Coturnix japonica: one gene and its partner. The protein of the gene in region 2 purifies or fractionates together with the protein of the main gene of each other region. This does not show direct contact. Links are inferred from orthologs where the notes say so. Each region holds a gene or a part of one and is shown on either strand. Other genes may lie near its edges.

Region 1 (9,882 bases), on a different chromosome or scaffold from region 2:
GTTAAATGCAACTAAAAAGATAAAAAATAAAAGATGTTAGAACTTATCAATCTGCTAATGGAAAAGACGTACATTTAAAAATACTATTTACTGTTAACAGTTTGTCTCTTAAAATAAACCAAAAAATGGCAAGAAATTCTCTGCATTTTCCTATTTTCAGTACTTTTTGAAACTCATCTCAAAGCACTCCATGAAACACTGAGCATGCTTTAGCACTCTCTCATTTCAATCATGAAATCAGATTCAGTTCAAGAAAACTGCACGTATCAAAATCTGGTTACCTTTTTCTTCCTCATTTTCTCTGTTCAGTTCAGTATAGACTGGTTCCTCCTGCCAAAAGAAAACTTAATAGATTTCAAGAGCAAAACAGAAAGCTGAGCCAGGATAACATTTTTTAGTGATCGTTGACTGCCTGAATTTTATTGACAAAGATCATCTAATAACTGTAATATTCAGTCTGGCTTGATTTATAAGATTATAAATTGAAAACGTTATCTCATTATAGGCTCCTGTGCAAAATTATCTAATTAACACTCTTTACAGAGATGTTGTCTATACTTGTTTAATTTCAGCATCAAAGGGAAAGTGGCCTTACTGCAAGTTTGCTCATTTTGAACAAGCATGATCAGACTGGTTTTTGGACAGTCTGATAATCTAAAAAAGGAAAAAAATCATGGAATCTTTCCAAATTTTTAGTACCAAAGGCTCAGACCATTTAAATTTCAATTAGTTTTAAATTAAGAAAAAGATAATAGTTTACAACAGCATTTAAATATATCTATCGATACCCAGAATCAAATGGGAGGTCCCAATCCCAGGCAACAACGTGCATGGAAGTCAAGGGATAATGCCAAAGAAGTTCCCAAATTCCACATCATGGCTATGCGAATAAACACTCTGTACTGTGGGTATTTGATCATTTTAGCTTTCCTGGTAATCTCAGCCTCCCTACCATACTTATTATTTGCAGCCCTGTAAGGTTGTGAAATACGACAAACGAAGACATCACTTTAGTTACTGTTTAGTCTCCTACCTTAAATTCAGCGTTTTAAAATTGCTAAGAAAACTATTACTCATAGTAACTCGTCAGTTATCATCTTTCATAAATGTCTAACAGCAAACTCAGAAAGTAGGTGAAGTAATGTGGTGACTTAAGCATGAGAGAAGAAGGTCTAAACCATAATCTGAAATGGCTGGGACCAGATATAGTCATAAGGAATAGTTTCAATACATTTCAAAACAGTGTCAAATCTAAAAGGAGCTGAAAGCTCTACTTTCCTTTTCTGAAACTGATTCCAAACAGGACCTTGATGTTTATCTGCTGCAAAAACCTTCAGGTTGGTTATTTGAGGAAGCAGCAATTTCAACTGAAACAAGGTGGGCAAAATGGGCATGAGAATTATCTGCGAGAAGAATATTTCTCAGTTTAGGAACAACCAACTGTGCAGCCACATATAACCCACTGTTGCCCCGTTTGAACTAGCAATCAGCTCACAACCCACTGCACAAAGATTACTCATCACCTTCTAGCTGGCTGCAATGGAAATAGCAGTGGAAAGACCAGGGAAGCATTACTGACTTAACTGAGAGGACTTTTGAGCTGAAGATTGATAGATAATTTTTCTCACCAGTTCTTTCCCCTCCAAACCTCTTCTAACTTGCTGTTCAATGAATTTTGCTGTTTTTTCTTCATCATCGAGGTCTTGTTTCTTTTTTCTCTCTTGTTCTTGTTGCCTGCGAATGGTCTCTGGGTCCCTATCAATGTACTGAATATACCAGCCTTTTGGAGTCTCATCAACCTTACAAAGGCCTAAAAACCCAACACAAGACAAAGTAAGATGAATACTAACAAAAACAAGAAAGTAACAAAAAAACCCATCATTTTCCTAGGCCACGTTCAATATAAGAATGTAAAAACTTCACCAGATGTACCTTTACAATGTATCTCTTACCGGACTTGTAAAATTGACTTTAAATTGCCCTTAGTAACTACTTATGCCCTTAAGCTAGCAAGTTCTATTTGGAAATGAGCCAAAATATGTAGTAAAAGAGGATGGAACATTCTGTATCACTTTCCTTATGGAAGAAAACATTTCCTTCTCATTGTTTTAACAGGGAAGAAAACAGCACTCTAACATATATAAACACTACAGAGCAACAGCATCAAACTATAGGAAACTTTACTGTGCAACACTGTTGTTACTGGCACTCATTAGAGTGACTTTTCAAGCACTCTGTGACTCATGAATGTATCCTGTAGCACACAGAGGACTGAAACCAATTTAAACATTACACAGCACTGTGGTATGACATAACCTCTGCTCCTCCCACGGAAAGCAAAACTGCAGATGTCAGATTTGAAGCTTGTATTAGGATAGGAATGAAAACAATATAACGCTTCTTGTCACCACATATACTGAGGGATTCTGGAGTTGTAAGAAATGTCCTATCATAGTTCACACTTTTTAAATGACAACTGTTGGAAGCTGACTTAGAATTTAGCAACAGCTACAAGGAAAAAACAAGGAAAGGTTTGTAAGTGATACATTTATCTCAGATCTCTGCCACTTTTCATAAGGAAATTCCATTGCTTAATACAGAACTCTATTTGGATATGTGTTAATATAGATGCAGGAGGGGAGGGTTATGGAAGAAAAGGAAACAGGAGAATTAACACAAATGCTTACTGATTACTCATCAACAAAGCAACTACCCAATAGTTTTATAATGTCATAACCCATAACAACAATATTTACCTTCTCTCCCCAACCATTTTGTAAAATCAGTCAGTGTCTCCCATTGCGTTGCATTCATGTGGATGTGTTCTCGGTGACTGATGTATTCGTTGTACACGATGTTATTGTGGACTCTCTTTGTTCCTAAAACAGAGTTATTATGAAGTGTAAGTATGGGACCCAGGAGAAACCAACCAAAACTTTCTGCACAAAATCAAAAGGCATTAAAAGCAAAAGAAAAAAAAGTAAAATATTTACCAAATCGTCTCCTGAGCAGTTCTAAGAAATCATTCCGGAACTCCCTTAGGGGATATAAAGAAAAGGATTTAAACCAAAATTATGTAATTACACAGAAATGTTCAATTGTCATTAATAATGAAATATCTGCAGTATAGACTATTCTTTTGAACTGAGTACGATGAAGTTCAGACACCTGTTTCCCACCTTTGGTAAGACAGCGTGAAGTGCAGCCTGTATACACAAAGAGACACAGTATGGTACATGCACACACAAGTTTAATCTTCTAAAGGATAATACCCTTTCAAAGGGATAAAATGGAAAGAACTGAACTCTAAACACTTCCCACTAATTGCTGGTATTTCATTACCAGGTATCTCCCAAGGTTGACTAACACTGACACAAAACACGAGGCAGAACAAAGCGAAGTAGTGGTAGACTGGGTAGACAGATCACTCATCTCCCTGCTAATTCAATGGCTTAAAGATAAAGCCTCCCTTCAGCCTCACGCTGAAGACAGTTCCAGTCAGCCCTGCAGTCAGGTAGGTCAGATGGACAAAGGGATCAGGGGAACAGTGGGATGTTATTCATACAGCTGACTCCTTATCTTCATGTGATGGTTCTTTTAGCTCTTTGTAATTCTGCAGCTCTGACAGTCACTTAGCTGGGACACAAGCAGTGACATGCTTCATAATGAAGAGCAAATTAAAACAGGACTCGGGCATGGAATAAAATTATCAAGTTTGGGATTAAAAAAATAAAAGGATCTGGGATAAAAATTGCCACATTTGGGATAAAAAAAGAAGTTAAATGAGATAGAATTGTCAACTTTTAAATATCACAGCACCCTTACACTTACATGCTTTCAAAAGCAAACTTTTCACATAGTCACTATATGAAACAGCCGACACTAAAATACATCAGAATCAAGTGTCTTCAATGGGACATAACTGGGCTTTAGGGGTATGGCCGTGCAGATTTGACACATGGGTAAGAATACATGGCAAACTTACTCAGAAAAGTAGTTCAGGAATTGCTGAGGATTTTCAGAAGCCAGCAGTAATTGCCTCTGGTGAGATTCAGACATGCAATGACATTTGAAGCCATTCTGGAAAATAAAGAAAAACATTTTATCTGCCTTTGTCTCCATTTGCAACACACAGCTTTAAAAGTAAATTAAGATATTGTTTTCTAAGTGAAATCTCTTGGAGGCTTTCACATAAAACACTCAAACCCAACCACAGTCTAGCAATACAGATTGGCTGTTTCTCCTAACTAGGACATAACAAAGGTCCTCTTGCTCCCTTGTGGAATGGGATCGATGTGGCACCACCTGGTCCATCTATCCAGGCAAAAGGAGTGGAAATACTTGCTGATTCCCCGCCTGACATGCACTCAGATGTTGGAGGTTTGGCTACACCCTTCAAATGAACAGAGAAGTGAAAACAGGGGGAAGCATCAGAGAAAAATCATCTCTTTATAACAGGAGAAGGAGGGAAGAAACAGACAGAATCAGAAGGTTGGAAAGAGACCTTGCTTGTGATTTCAAGGCTTGCATGTCCAAAGCACAACTACCCCAGACTCCTGATGGAATAATTCCTAACCCTTTCAGGGCATCCTAATGGGGTTAAGAAAAGCTCAGGACCATGTTTTCTCCAAAACACTTCAGGGCTTTCCCCCACAGGGTTTATAATGGCATATATCCCTAGCCCAGGTGGTTGGGAACCCCTCAAACCCCACTCAGCCCTTCATATCATACATGAGGGATCAGGAACCCCACAGAGAAACGGAGGACCCCAAAGCACCAAACACAGCCCGGCCCGCTTCACCTCACCTCATCTCGGCACTGCTTCTGGCACATCTGGCAGTACCAGCGTAGCTTCTGCAGCCCTTTAGACTTAATGCGGTTGGCGATAGCCTTTGGGCTGAGGAAATCCGACTTCCCCATGGCGTTTTCTACCTTTTTTCACCCCTTATTTTCTCGTCCCGGATGAGACGGAGCGACCTCGGAAGCGATCATCGAGGCTCCGGGCGCCTGCGCGGGACGGGCGGGCTGACCTTCAGCAGAGCTGGGCTGCAGGCGCCGCCATGTTCGCGCGGGGCTCCGCCGTGGTGCTGTACCAGCCGCAATGGTAAAGGGGGGAAACCAGCGGGTTGTGGTTACCGGGTTGTGCCTGAGAGGGGCTGGGGGTTCGTGGAGGAACGAGGGAACGCGGGGATGTGGGGAGGATGGAGGGCTCTGTCCTCCGCTTTGCGGGCCTGAGGCTGGTTGGAGGTGGAAGGGCGCTCTGTGTGAGGTGAATGGCACTGCAGGGACGTCCTGCTGATGGCTGCGAGCCCCGCTGTTTCGTTGTTTTAATCGTTTAAAAAAGAAAGAAAGCTCTGTTTTTCGTGTGTATTTGCCCTTCTGACGCCCTTCTGCGTGGCCTTTGTTTTCGTTGTCACACAAAAAATGTGAAAGGTTTGTTATAAGGCCTCGTTTTGAAGTGTCCTTACTAAGAAATGGGTGTTTCTATATGCTCTCTGAAGAGACCTGACCTTGATGGATATTTGCTTGCTGGAGAGCTAATGATCTCTCCTAATCACTCCTGCTTTCACTTCCAGGGGCCAAGTCAGGAATATGGCAACTCTGAAAGACAGTAAGTGCTGCTTTTGTCTGCTTTGAACAGAAGGGAAATGCAGGAGGTGTTAAATTAAAGCATGATTTCACTTGGCTTCTGTCGGATGAAGTGATGGTTGTGGATTGTAACACTGACATGTGAGCCTCCAGCACTTGTGTCAAACAAGTGTCCTTCATAAACTTCCCCCCCCTTCAGGGGGAAGATCTTTACTATGAGAGTGGTGAGGTGATGGCACAGCCTGCCCAGAGAGGTTGTGGATGCTCCGTCCCTAGAGGTATTCAAGGCTGGGTTGGATGGGGCCCTGGGCAGCCTGGTCTGATGGTTGGCAACCTTGCACACATCAGGGGGGTTGAAGCTAGATAGTCATTGTGATCCTTTTCAACTCAAGCCATTCTATGATTCTATGAACTTCAGGAGAGATTTCTGGATAGCCATTGCTTATGTTTTATTGTTTGCTTTCAATCTCTTGTGCTCAATGTAGCCCAATTTTGACCTTCAGCTTTTAACCTTGTTAGTTACCAGGCGCTTGAAATCCATCAAGAACATTCAGAAAATTACAAAGTCCATGAAGATGGTTTCTGCAGCAAAGTATGCAAGAGCTGAGAGGGAGCTGAAGCCTGCTAGAATATATGGAACAGGAGCACTGGGTGAGAGAAGGCTCTTGCTACCAAACATACTTTTAAATGCTTGAACTGCACATGCTTCTCAAACATTGCACTTGCAGTCAGTGTCACTGTTTACTTGTAGTTCACTATAATACCTGACACAAAGATGCAGGTGGCTTTGAATTACTTCTTTATCACCTTTGGTCAGCTAACCTGCAAGCTTGAATGATTGTGATGGAGATAAAAATGCATCTGGTTGCGATTTGAAACAATTTGGAAATGATTTATGAAATTTGAAGTTAGTTGAAGATGTTTTGATAGGACAGATTTTCTTCTTGACCCCCTTGAATATCTTGCCCATCTTGTTCGTTTTGTTTTTCCTCAGCACTGTATGAGAAAGCAGAAATTAAGGCACCCGAGGACAAGAAGAAGTATCTCCTTATTGGCGTGTCCTCTGATCGAGGTCTGTGTGGTGCTATCCATACATCTATTGCTAAGACCTTGAAGAATGAGATTACCAACCTCTCCAATGCAGGGAAGGAAGTTATGGTGGTTGGTGTAGGCGACAAGATTAGAGGCCTACTTCAAAGGTAAAAAGGGAGAGGGGTTTGGTTTTGGTCATGCTGGTGTATCATAATTTAACTGAGGGATGGGGGCAGGAAAGCCAAGTGAAATGCTTAGTTGTTGAACATTAGCAGTTAGTGCTGCTGCTTGCCTCTTGGTGCCACACAGCTGTGCATTGGAGCACCAACTTGCTCCTGACGCATATTTCACATTACTACAGGACACATGGCAATTACTTCTTGATGACATTCAAAGAAGTGGGACGGAGACCTCCCAGTTTTGGAGATGCTTCAATCATTGCTTCAGAGTTATTAAACTCTGGATATGAATTTGATGAAGGCTCTGTCATCTACAATCGGTTCAGGTAAGATAAAACTGAAGCTGCACTAGGAAGATGTTGAATAGATTTCAAAACAGCATATTGGTTGAATTAAGTAAAATGGGAAAACTGTTCAGATTTTGTTGAAAAGTCAGTGCATCTTCTTATTATGTGTGAAGAACATGTTTGCCATGGGTATTTTTTAATAGATATGGTTGAAATTCTATAGTGTTTCGAAGCACTATAGTTTCTAAACACATTTTCTATAGCATGCGCTGTTGTGTTTACAGTCAGTACATTATTATATCCTTAGGTTATTTGATATCTCCTCATGGGGAGCACAACAAGACTTTGAAGAATTGGAAGGCCAGAAGTTGTCTGTGTCCTAACTTGATATCAAATGCTCAGTTTAGGCTCTTCAGTCAAATAAAACCTATTATGCTATTTTTTTATACAGATCTGTCATCTCCTACAAGACTGATGAAAAACCTATCTACTCTTTTGAAACAGTTGCTGGTTCTGGTAAGTACTTGTGAAAGTACACGTAAGGTGACATGGAGGGATGTAGTAAATGGAGAAAAGCTAATTTAGTCGTTTTCTATATGACGTTGTATCATTACAATTAGTACAGCCTGCAGTTCTGACTCGACTCATTCCTATTTTTCAGAAAGCTTGAGTATCTATGATGACATTGATGCTGATGTGCTGAGAAACTACCAGGAATTTACACTAGCAAATATTCTGTACTACTCCCTGAAAGAATCTACCACCAGCGAGCAGAGCGCTAGGATGACTGCTATGGACAACGCAAGCAAAAATGCTTGTAAGTCTATATGGATTTTCTAGGTGTTGGTGTCTGTCGTGTTGCTGGTCTGAGGATTTTGAGAATATGAAGATGAGAATATGCTGGTATACCTTGTAAAGTGTCCAAACTGAGTGCACTGCAGTTGGTATCGGTGGGCAATGGCTAATAGCATTTAATGTGGCATAGTGATATGATTCCAGCTTCAAGAAGATAGCGATGCATAAAAAATACTGATGGCTGAATGAAGCTTATGTTTTATGCAGTAGGGTTACCTGGAACTGTAAGTATGGGTCTCTGCTGATCTCTTTATCTTGAATGTAGTGATAAAGTCTCCATTAAAAAATAGGAAGAATGGCTCCGTTTGCCAGAACACAGAACTTGAAGGAAATACTGTTGTTGATTGAGGGACATTAACGATGCAATAATACACAATTGGAATTCATTTAAAAATGAGTGATGTGCTACAAGATATTTACTAGTCTGTCGGCTGTTCTTCATATGTTTAATTCTGATGCCTCAAGACAAATTATCCCCTTTCTAGATTGTCTGTTAGTAGTGTTATCTGTAGGGAAAACTGGAAAGTCCAGTAAGCCACTTGATCATACACATGGATCTACAAGTCTACGTGGTATTCTATTCATAGAACTTGTATTTGAATGGTCATTATATGCTTAAATTCCAACTTTAATTTTTTCCTAGCTGAGATGATCGACAAACTGACTTTGACATTCAACCGTACCCGTCAAGCAGTTATTACTAAGGAGCTTATTGAGATCATCTCTGGTGCTGCTGCTCTGTGAGTACCTGTATACCAATGAAACAGATGTGGTTGCAATGTGATGTAATGCTCATGCCCTCCTTCAGGCGGGTTAACAGGGAAGGTTAAGGCATGAAAAGCAGGACAATCCATGGCATTGCTTCCATGCTTTGCTTGTGGCAATTGTACTAACAAGTGTGGTGAAATTTGACCAGGTATAATTGAAATGCCGGTAGACTATATCTTAAACCTTGACACAAATCCTTGACTGAGCAGGGAAAGTTTTCTGCTCCTTCTTCTTCCACTTGGATTCTTCATACTCTGCTCAAATAGCCCAGTTCATTGTTGTAGAACAGTTTTGGATGCATAGAGAGCAATTCAGGTGACTGAGACGCCTTTGGAGAAATCATTCTGTGATGGTGTGTGGGGGGTTGGGGTTGGAAGGAGAAATATAGCTGGCATCAATGGATTCTGGATATATGTATGATAAATGTTGAAGCCGAGTATATTGCTGCATTGCCTGAGAATGAAGTTTTGCAACTGTGTGTTCTATAGGTTACAAAATGTGTGGGCTTAGACCACAATTTGTAACCACATGTAGATGACGTGCATTCCATCTAACTGTTAAAAACGTTGTGCTATGCTCAAAGATGTAAGTATGTGTGGTGATATTCTGTGTATTTGCAAAATGTCTGGAATACGTAACACATTGCAGTTCTGAGCTGTATTATGTCCCTCACAATACAGTCATAAATACTTGCATAGTTTTGCCTTAATTTGCATGATTTGCTTCTTAACCTGCTTGTTCTGTTGTGTTTTTTTTTCCTCATAACATCTTAACCAGGGATTAATCGGCAAAAGAGGTTTGGCCAAATCCAAGAGGTAAAGTTATGGAATAGAGACTAGATTGTCTGTATTAATCTATTTTTAAATGCAATCTTGAAGCCAGATGAGAAAGTCTGAATTCAGAGATAGCAGTCAGACCCATTTCTTCTCCCACACATGTAGGAAATAGCCATTGCTTTCTGTTTGGGCAGATACAAGCACCAATAAATCTTAAACAAAACACATCCATGATAGCATACATCTGCATTTAACAGGTTTCTGACAATATTGCTGACAATAGCAGGACACGTGGAAATGGTTTTAAGTTAAAAGAGGGAAGATTTAGGTTGGATGTTAGGGGGAAGTTCTTCACTAGGAGAGTGGTTAGGCCCTGGAACAGGCTGCCCAGGGAGG
Region 2 (10,017 bases):
AACTCAACAAACGGGCATCCTTCACCTTCCATTTTCTTTGACTCCAGAATTGCTGTGAACAGATACAATTTCTCTTTAGCCATTGACCTGGAGGTGCTTTTCTAGGGAAAAAACAAACTTGTTGAGAAGAACGAGGACTGAATGGATGCTACACGTGATCCTGAGAGGAACAAACCATCCAAACCCATATTCATTTGTTCTAGGGATGCAAAGTGAAGTGATAAGATGTCCACCTCCTGCCTTTTTATGCAAGACTTCATTTTATAAATGTGAAGATGAACCACACATGTAGAGCTGGCTCTCACTGCAGCACAGCTCCAGCCAACCTAAGCAGCAAGCTCTTCCCTTCAGCCACAAGCAGAGCAGCCGGCTGTGAGCACCAGGGACGCAGCCTTGCCACAGCCTGCAGCCTCTTTGGGCAGGTACCACCCCACGAGCTGCAGATAGGCATTCCTTTGGGCAGCTGCTTGGCCCAACAAGCCGTTGCCTGTTGAAGCAGGATATTGCTATTGCATAAGCGAGGAATCCCTATCCTGGAGGGAACAAACTGGATCTGGTGGCTGAATCAAAGCCAACGATGTTCACAGAACGCACTGAAAGCAAAGTGCACGCTGCAGTGCAGCTTCAGCTGGGGACATTACCTGCGTGGAATCACAGAATCATTAAGGTTGGAAAGGACTTCCAAGGTGACTGAGTCCAACCCCACCCCACTGTGTCCCCCAGTGCCACATCCCCACAGCTCTGGAACACCACCAGGGTTGGGGACTCCCACCTCCCAACCCCCAGCCAGCTGTGCCACTGCATCACTGATCTTTGGATCACATCAGGCCTAAATGTCTCCATTTCTTACAGAATTGTGAATGCTGGGATTTAAAGTTTGCAAGCACTGCTCTCTACAGGACAAACCATCTCAACAGCGGATCAGGTGTGATTCTGGAAACACAAAACCATCCTTTAGAAATCCACCAATGAACAAACCAAGTACTTAAAAACATCTCTGAGGAGATCCTCTGCTCCTCAACTGAGGTCCCCAAGAGCACAGCACCACGAGCTGGAGATCACAGCCTGGGGCAGAGCTCAGTGGAATTAATAGGGCCCCCAGCACAGGATATGGAGGGATGGGTCACTAAGGCTGAGGAATGCATCTTCCCAGCCAGAGCAGCCCGGTCTCAGGAGAACCCTCTGATGGGTATTTCCATTTAGCATCATCAAAAATTCAGAATGCTACAATCTCTCCATTGGACAATCAGACCACACTGCTCCTCCAGCTGCACATTGGCATCTATCAGACATATTTTACCAGCAGCCCCTTTGAGTCACTCCATAAAAATCAAACTATTTCCTCGAAAATTGGAAGCCTTGTGAGTTTGGGTTGGGCTGAGCAGAGCGTTTGTATTTGCCAGGTGGACAGGCCAGGTCAGGCTGCAGCACAGACAGGGCTGCCACGGGACAGCAGGAGATGCTGAGATCTCCACTTAGGCAATTACTATAATTAAGGGACAATACTGGAAGCCAAATCCCTGTTGTAAGGCAAATCAGGTAAAACACACAGAACAAGGTGCTTGCAATTGCGAGTGTGGGAAAGGTGATGAAATATGCACGTGCTGGTTAACTCTGCTGTTGTCATCATCAGCAAGAAGAAAAATAATTATTTCTGTTTGCATGGGCTAATCAAAGCCTCTTGTTTAACAGATGGAAAACAAAACTGATTACATCCTGTGTGAGTGCAGGTTGGAAGACAAGCATGCTTAGCGGGGATTCAAACTCTTAAAGGATCAAGGCATGGCCGTGGCCAAGTGCCCTTGCTTTTCACCAGTAGGATCTCAGCACATTAACTCAGATTAGGGTAGGAGTGAAATGAAATCATTGCTCTCATCCTTCTCCAATTGTGCAAGCATCTCAGAGTGACCACATATACCAGCTCCAGCACAAAGCAGACCAGGGAGGTCACGTACTACATGTTTAAGTAGTAAAATATTTCCATGTTCTTGAATGGGTAACACTGCCATGCGAGTCGTGACTGAGGCACCCACAGCCCCAGCCAAGATTTCTCTGAACACAAGGCAGCCCAGCAGAAGGCACTGAAATATTTCCCAGTGTCACAGATGGCAGTTTCACTCTGCAGGGTGGGTCTGGGGATGAAAGCAAACTTGGCCCCAGCAGACAGCAAAAGCCATCAGGGAGTCCTTTGTAAATGTGAGTCTGTCTCTGTGATGGGTTACTCTCTTACTTGATGCTTCCCTACACAGACTGATCAACTACATGACACTTAAACGAGGGGAGGAGCTCTCAAAAAAAATTAAGAATATAACCAATGGATGATTAAGCTTCCAACAGGACAATGGGAGTCTATCAGATTTGAGGTTAAGAAAACAAAAAGGCTGGATTTAATGTTACTCTAGTCACATTTTTCCTAATAAACTTGAACCTGCGCAGCATTCCTTGACTGATACCCACAGGTCTAAATGCTTCTGCTCCCTGTGCCCGTGAGGATGAGCACTACAGCTCTGGTGCACAGCAGATGCCAAGGGACGCATCTCTATGATACATGGGCTGGGAGGAACCGCATCAGGCTGTGACACCAACCAATGCTGGTATCACCACGTGAGGATCTTCCGCCTCAAGACCAAAAAAAACCTGATACACTTCCTATTCAGCTCCTTTATGGAAAGAAAAACTATTCCTTGGTATGAAGTAGCTCTTAAGCACATTTCTGGGCTCGCAGATATGCAGCCATTTATTTCCCCTTGTGGTTTATCTGCAATAGCCCACAGCGCTCAATGTGTGGGCACAGCCCCCTGCCCTGCCAGGTGCTGCACTCACTGCTGTGCCCAGCACTGCCTGTGCAGTTTGGTTTTCCCCACTCACATCTCAAGGCCATTTGAGCCCTGGTGGCAGCGTGCTCAGAGTCCCAGTTCTGCAGAGACGTGAAAATAAATGAAGCCACAAATCACCAGGTAGTGCCATGGGGTCACACACCACGTCAGGCACAGATATGAGCTTTAGGAGATGCCTGAAGTTTGTAAATGCTCTGCATTATGGAACAGAGCACACGATAAGATTCTCTGCCCCAACGTGTGCTGTGCCATCACACATCCACAGAGCTGCATGGCTCAAGATTTACAGCCCTGCAGTCTGCAGTTTCATTCATGCAGGTAATAGTGAAAATGTGCAGCGTCCTTGTGATGATCTACAGCACCTGCAGGACCACAGCCTTCCCACTGCAGCTCTGCTTTCAAACTACATGCACCATAGAGCAGATTTCATCTTTAAGGATGGATTGATGCCATGGATCTGTAGCACAACAAACACTGGAGCAGAAGGGAAATAAACAGCTTAAAAGCAAACGTAAATACTGTGATTTAGCCTGAACTAATATTTACAGAATTAAAGAAAGAAAGAGTCTGCTCTTAATTGCACGGGTATAAATTATGAGCAGTGTTGTACCAAACCCCCTAATTAAGCGATCACACATAAATATCAATTTAACAGAGCTGGGGATGCCGCAGCCTGTTGTAGCTGCTGTTTGCATTAGAAGTGCAAGGAGGAAGAAGTGCACATGCCGTGCATTGAATTAAGAAATGACAGTAACTCTCGGCTCCTTCCAGCCGCCTGCAGACCAGGAAAGGAGCAGCGCTGCTGTCACTCCCAGCAGTTCAGGGCTCTCCGTGCACCCAAGGGGGCTCAGCTCAAACGTGCTCAGGGACACATCCCTTGTGCCCGGCCCCTCTGCAGCAATGCCTCACATCCACCAATAGGGGTGACTCATTGAAACAACACCTCCCCTCCCAGCACGTTTTGACACCTTGCTCCTCCAGCACCAAAGAAGAGCAATATGGGTTCTCTCTCCCTGCAGCACACATAGGTGAGGAGCTCCCTGACTGCATCCCATGGGGACATCACTCCTGCTGCCAGGGCAACCCCATTAATGCCCCACATCCCCATTGATGCCCCACATGTCATCACAGTCCCAAACAGGCTGGAATAAAGGGTGCAGGCTGTGGATATGTGTATGCCTTCCACAGAGCATTCTGGGTGTGGGGATTATAGTAGGTTGCCTTCATAAGGCCTTTTTGGAAGGAACTCTGAGCAGATCACACTGATTAAATTCCCTGAGGCAGACGAATCACAGAATCATTAAAGTTGAAAAGATCATCCAAGACCATTAAATCCAACCCCAGCCCCACTGCGCCCATTGATGTGTCCCCAGGTGCCACGTCCCCACATTCTGGAGCAGCTCTGCGGATGGCGACCCCCGCTCCCTGCGCAGCCCATGCCTGTCCATCACCGATGGAAATCGCTCCTGATATCCAACCCGAACCCTCGAGCATCCCCTGCACTGAGCAGAAACCTCCAAGTGCTCCTGACCCCCATCACAGCGCGGTGTCAGCATCGCCACGAACATTCCCCACAATATTCCGCGGCGTGCACGGCTCGGGCAGGATGAGTCAGCTCTGCTTCGCGTTCTGACGTTTTTCTCTCTTTTTCCTTTTTTTTAAACCAAACCCCCCATGTCGGACGGTCTCCATCACCCTCCAGCAGCTGTTGTACCCAGCGAGGCTGTGACGATGCACAATGGAGGCAGCTCCCACCGCAGCCGCCCAGAGCTCCCAGTGCAAACCCGACTCGTGCACGTTTCCAGACGGCCATTTCCCCCCACCGCGAGAACTGAACTTGAAGAATAAACGCAAGTGAAACCAACCAGCGAAGGGCCGCGGCTCGGCCGCTCTGAGCTTCCGAGGTGACCCGAGGCCACCGCGCTGCCCCCCCGCGTCCCCACGCAGCCGGAGCGGGGCAGTGCAGGTGCCGGGCGCGGCCGCCGACCTTCGCTCGGCGCAGGGGCAGCGCAGCGCCGGGAGCCCCGCGGCTCACACCGCCCCCAGCCGCGGCTCCCGACCCGGGGGGCTCCGTCACGCCCGGCCTCAGCTGTCACGGCCCCGGCGCCGCGCCGTGATTTCGTAACCGGGTGCCGAACATTACGTAAGAAAACAGTTATTCCCGATGTGACGCGGCTCGGAGGGCAAAAAGAACAACTGCCACGAGCCGCCGCCAGCTGCCACCCGGCGCCGGCCGCCCCCCCCCGCACCACGGTGACCCGGCGCTCCGGACCCCCCTGGCCCTACCTGGCCCCGCCGCGGCGGCAGCACCGCGCTGCGCTCCCGCTCCCGGCGCCGCCTCGGGCTCCTGCGGCCCCCCCGGTCCCCGTCCCTGTTCCGGCCCCGGCCCGGCGCCTCCCCGGGCTCTGCGGTGGCGGCTGCGTGACGGCGGGCGGGGACGGCAGGGAGGGGACAGACGGCGGGGGCGGGAAGGGGCGGGCTCTGCCGCCGCACCGGGTGCCGGGAGCCCTCCCCGGGACTCAGCGGCACCGAACGGCCCCGGTTAGATCAGGGCTCAGCACCCCTAAAGCACCTGCGTGGCGCGGCGCTCAGCCCCGGCTGGAAGCTGCGTTGGGTTGGAATTGCCGTTCCCGCAGGTGGCCGGGCGGGCTGTGAGTCAGCAGGCGGCGAATAGCGCGGGGCACGGCCCGGCCGCGGGGCGTGGAGATGCTCCGGTGAACGAGGGCGTTGGGCACCTTTAGAACTGCCTCTTGGAGACGTGAATCAGCCTCAGCTGCGGCTGTGTCCAACCCCACGTCCTCCCCGTGACACAGCGCAGCACAACACCGCTGTCGGAAAGCAGCAGGTGCCGGTGCCGGTGCCGGGCTGCGCACGGGCTGAGATAGGAACCGTCATCTCCGCCCTGCAGGGAGCTCCGAGCGTCCCCCGGAGATAAGCGGCACCAACCCGCCCGGAGAACTGCTGGTCCTGATACCGCCCCTATAGCCGCGGCGTGTGGGGAGGGGGGTTGGCAGGAAAGTCGTTGCAAAGAGTCCACATCCCACCCATGCCAAGTTTTTATATGATTACTTTTAATAACGATTCCTTGCCTGTCTTTTCTCCTTCGCATACCAGGAGCAGACAGCGAGTGGCAGAACTCTTGCTTGGCTCACCCCATTGCTTTCCCAGCAGCACTGCCCCAGAAGTTTGCACAGCTGTGGGTCACAGGGAGATCAGAGTCATCTGCTGGAAAACAAACCCGGAGCACTCAGCACTCAGAAGGGCACCAGCATAAACCAGGGCCCTTAACACAGCCCCAGAGCCGGGCCACGAGCCCAGAGGTGGCTCAGCTCAGCCCATGTCTTGGTCCTGCACTAGGGCTCGGGAGTCACTTCTGCAGTTCACTTCATCCCATTTTTGGGGGTGGATGAGCGTTTCCTATCAGATCAGAGCAGATCTAGTTTCCAGCTGATGGAAAGCTCCCATGTCTGCATTGGAGCAGAACCATAAAGGCCATAAGCAGGCTGTAAAAGAGCAGGTGTGGGAACATGAAGTGCTTGGCAAGGAGCACGTTTCTTGTCTGCAGTCAGGGAGCATAACGAAAAGAAAGAAGAGCACAAGAAGAAGAGCCGAGATCCTCTGCAGAGATACAGCCTATTCCCTCCATCTTTTCCTAACTAACTCACGGGGTTTTTATATCCCAGAGGACTCCTCAGTGAGGGCACGGGTAGGACCGGAGGTGTCTGCGTGATGCGGCAGCGGGTGAAGGAGCTGCAAAGCGGAGCCGCTCCGGGAAGGACCGTTTGCTCCGCTTTCCATAACGCGTATCTGCCATAAGATGGCAGCAGAGCCCTGGGATGGAGCTGGCAGCGGTGACAGCTGCTCTGCAGGGCTCTATTTTCCATACGCTCTATGAGCCGAAAATTGTGCTGGTGATAATCGGGGATTACACCGCGTGTCCCCAAGGGGAAAATCTCTGCTCGTGACGCCACTCGATAGGAAAGAGATTCCTTCAGCAGAATGAGAGCACGCAGATATTTTGGGCACCTCTAGACATCAGACCCCTCTCAAACTTTGCCTGCCTGCTGTTTGGATAATGCTATGTCTTAATTTCATTATCTGAGTGGAAATGGAATAACAGAGAACACAGAAAGATGGATTCATTCCACAAGTAATGAGACCCCAAATAATTCACACACAAGGTCCATCCAAACATTCCTCACCGCTGGAAACTTTGGCTCTTGAGCACCCAGAGAGGTTTGTGCTTGGTGGAAAAATCAAACCTGTTCCTCTCTTTGTTACATAAATCCATCAGCAGGGTTATTTCTCAGCTCAGTGCCGTATCACCAGCGCTGTGTGGCTGTGACCCTGCATTGGGTGCAGTTTCATGCTGTGGGAACAGGGAATAAATGTGAGTCAGGCACAAAGCCATGGGATCAGCACCTTCTGGTGGTGTTCAGCTCTGTGTCTGTTTGGAGCAGTGGTGGTGCTGCTCAGGGCATGGTATAGGCAGCCCTTCTGTGTGTTAAAGTGTGCTCCTTCCCATTCAGTTCTGTCACAACCCAGGGGCAGGAAGCAGTGCTTTCATTCATCATTTTTACGTGGTTTAACCTATGCAAAGTTGTGTGGTTTTTTCTTCTATTTCCAGTAAGAATGATCTGCCTAAAATGGAATTATGAGGGGAAAACACTGCCCAGATGCCCCGTGTTGTGAGTTTTACATCAACAGCTTTGGGCTGATTCAAATACAGCTCCATCCCTATCTCCAAAGGAAGTAAGAAAAGAAGAACACCAGAAAATTAAAGGGGACCACAATAACAGCAAACTCCCCCCGGCTTCTTTTGATCTCAGATAACAGCAGCAGGATGTCCTGACAGCCACGGTGATTTCTGAATCTACACAACCACCTTGTCTTGGAAGCAATGATTTGGTATGTAAGATAAGTGATAAAAACCTGCCAATGTTCCTTGTAGGCTATTTAAATTCAAAGAGCTGCTGTAAAAGGAAGCATTGGTATTAATTTGGCAGATAAGGCTTCCACTTGTGGTCACAGAGCTGCAAACCAATGTGATTAATACAAAGCAGTCTAGCACTTCAGGGTTCCTCTGTACAGTTAAGAACAAAATGCATGAGTGCAAACCTACATGTGGCTGAGCTTTGGGTCTGCATCCTCAGCCCTAAACACAGCTGCATTTCAGTAGCCAATAAAATAGGATGCATCCAACCTGCAGGTCTTTTCCTGTTCTTTGGACAGAAGTGAGTACATAACACAGGACATCCCATGTCTCTGGTGCTGCTCACAATACAATTCTGTTGTTGCCAGATAACTCTGGATACAGTCAGCTCTGGAGATGGTAGAAACTACTATTGGAGAGCAGAGCGAGTTCACCTCCTTAGTGCTAACAAATAACGTTCATTAAGAGGTTGCACATCCCAGAGTAGATAGATACACCCACACAGAAAGGTGTACACAGATGGTTCTTGCACTGTCATTTTACACACAGCTTTCCCATCCTTCACCTCCTTCCCAGGCAGTCTGACAGGGAAGCAATGCACCCACAGGGGACCTTGTGGGAAGGAGCTGGAACAGATGTGGTTGGGGGTGGCAGCGATGGGTTGGTGCTTAGACTTGATGACCTTTTCCAACCTTAATGATCTTATGGGGCCATCAAGCAGCTCTCAAGCTCATTCCACCACTCCCCAATCACGCTGCTCAGACAGCCCCAAATATTCAGGCTGGTCAGCTAACCCCATAGCTGGATGGCAAGAATAGCACAAACATAACATCAGAAACTTGAGAGGAAGGATGACATGGTCAGGAGGCAGCAAGAAAAAAAATACTTTCCTCAGCCCTTTGAGCAAGGCCTGGCATCAGATTAAAGTCACACTTTGAGCGCACTTGTAATTGCACTCCTGGGTGGAAACTGAGAACTGCATTAGCACAAGACAAGTGTGCAGCTGAAGGCAGGGGACTGCTCCATGGAAAAGTGTTTTGTTGTTTTTTCCTGGAAGATGGAGGAAGGTGACTGAGCTGGAAGAGCTGCACCACAGCTGCTCCCAGATCCCCAGAATGGAGCTCTGTGGTTGTTACAGTCCACACCTCCCAGCCCATGTGTTGGGGTATAGGAGATATATATATATATATATATATATATATATATATATATATATATATGGGGGAAAAAAGGAAAAAGAGGATTTATTCCTAAAGGAATATTTCCTACAGCTGGTGGCGAGCAGTGCTATGACCTTCCAGTCACATCTGCCACCCTGCTGAGCCTGGCAGGGCTGAGCAGGGGCTGACCGGAGCCAAGAATAATTAAAACTCTTTAGTTCTGTGTTTACATAAAAACAGAGGACTGATCCTCCTTGGGATTCAGTTTCCTGTTTGCATCCAGCCTGGCCTAAGTCCAGCAAGAAGGACAGTAATAACAGCTTGCTGTAAAGATGTGCATGTTCTTGTCTGGAAGAAATGCAACTCTTTGATCTACTCCACCTTGGACAAGGGAAAGGCAATTTTCCACCTAGCTCTGAGAAACAGCAGTTGTGGTGTGGAAATGCAGCTCCATTACTCTGAGAGGTTCAGTACAGTCCCAGCTCTTACTGGGGGTGTGTCTTTGAGGGGTTTGCCACTGCAGATCTATAATACAATGGCCTGGGAGGCTCCTGAAAGGCCTGAACCTGTCAGAACTGCAGCAGGAATGGGAACAGAAGCCCAGAGAGCAAACTCCAACTGCTGACAAACACACAGCACTGTGCAACAGGAATTCGTGCAATAAACACCAACAGAACAAGGCAGAGGTCAACCAGAACCACAGACTTGAGGCTCCCAGGACAGAGCACAGCAGCATGGCACTTCCCAGGGCAGTATGGATGTTTTGTGCATTCCCTGCCCTCAGAAATAGATTTAGAAGGATGTAACGTGGGGAAGAAACCTCTCGTGCCTGGTTTGCCCTGAGCCAGGACAAGAGCAGCTCACATGTGCCATCTAGTGATGCTGACGCTACATGGAGTGCGGTTTCTCTCAGCAGGATCAGAAATGCTCAGGGAAGTTTGTGGACAAAGGCAGACAGAGAGCAAACTTCAGCCCTCAGAGCACCCCGTCCCACAGTGCTTTATGGTACACAGCATGTGCTTAAATCTTACATGTCCATGGGTGCATATGTCTGGCTTAACTGGAAACTAAACAGTAAGGGAAGGAC

The links.
Region 1: the proteins of VDAC1 (region 2) and ATP5F1C fractionate together in Homo sapiens (co-fractionation; 3 studies listed by BioGRID, with this or other methods). This does not show direct contact. The link is inferred for Coturnix japonica from reciprocal best matches to the Homo sapiens genes VDAC1 and ATP5F1C.

What each region holds. Positions count from the first base shown.
Region 1 is NC_029516.1:3,686,290-3,696,171, forward strand, and holds the start of ATP5F1C (ATP synthase subunit gamma, mitochondrial), read left to right. Parts: upstream 1-4,997; 5' UTR 4,998-5,060; coding exon 5,061-5,104; intron 5,105-5,576; coding exon 5,577-5,611; intron 5,612-6,108; coding exon 6,109-6,240; intron 6,241-6,583; coding exon 6,584-6,788; intron 6,789-6,982; coding exon 6,983-7,126; intron 7,127-7,538; coding exon 7,539-7,603; intron 7,604-7,748; coding exon 7,749-7,904; intron 7,905-8,585; coding exon 8,586-8,682; intron 8,683-9,487; coding exon 9,488-9,494; 3' UTR 9,495-9,525; intron 9,526-9,882. Other genes in the region: KIN (DNA/RNA-binding protein KIN17), read right to left, coding at 1-11, 282-330, 1,629-1,810, 2,757-2,879, 2,994-3,037, 3,986-4,080, 4,807-4,920.
Region 2 is NC_029528.1:2,138,694-2,148,710, forward strand, and holds the start of VDAC1 (voltage-dependent anion-selective channel protein 1), read right to left. Parts: upstream 5,258-10,017; 5' UTR 5,124-5,257; intron 4,725-5,123; exon of another isoform or gene 4,703-4,724; intron 1-4,702. UniProt on the Homo sapiens protein: Non-selective voltage-gated ion channel that mediates the transport of anions and cations through the mitochondrion outer membrane and plasma membrane.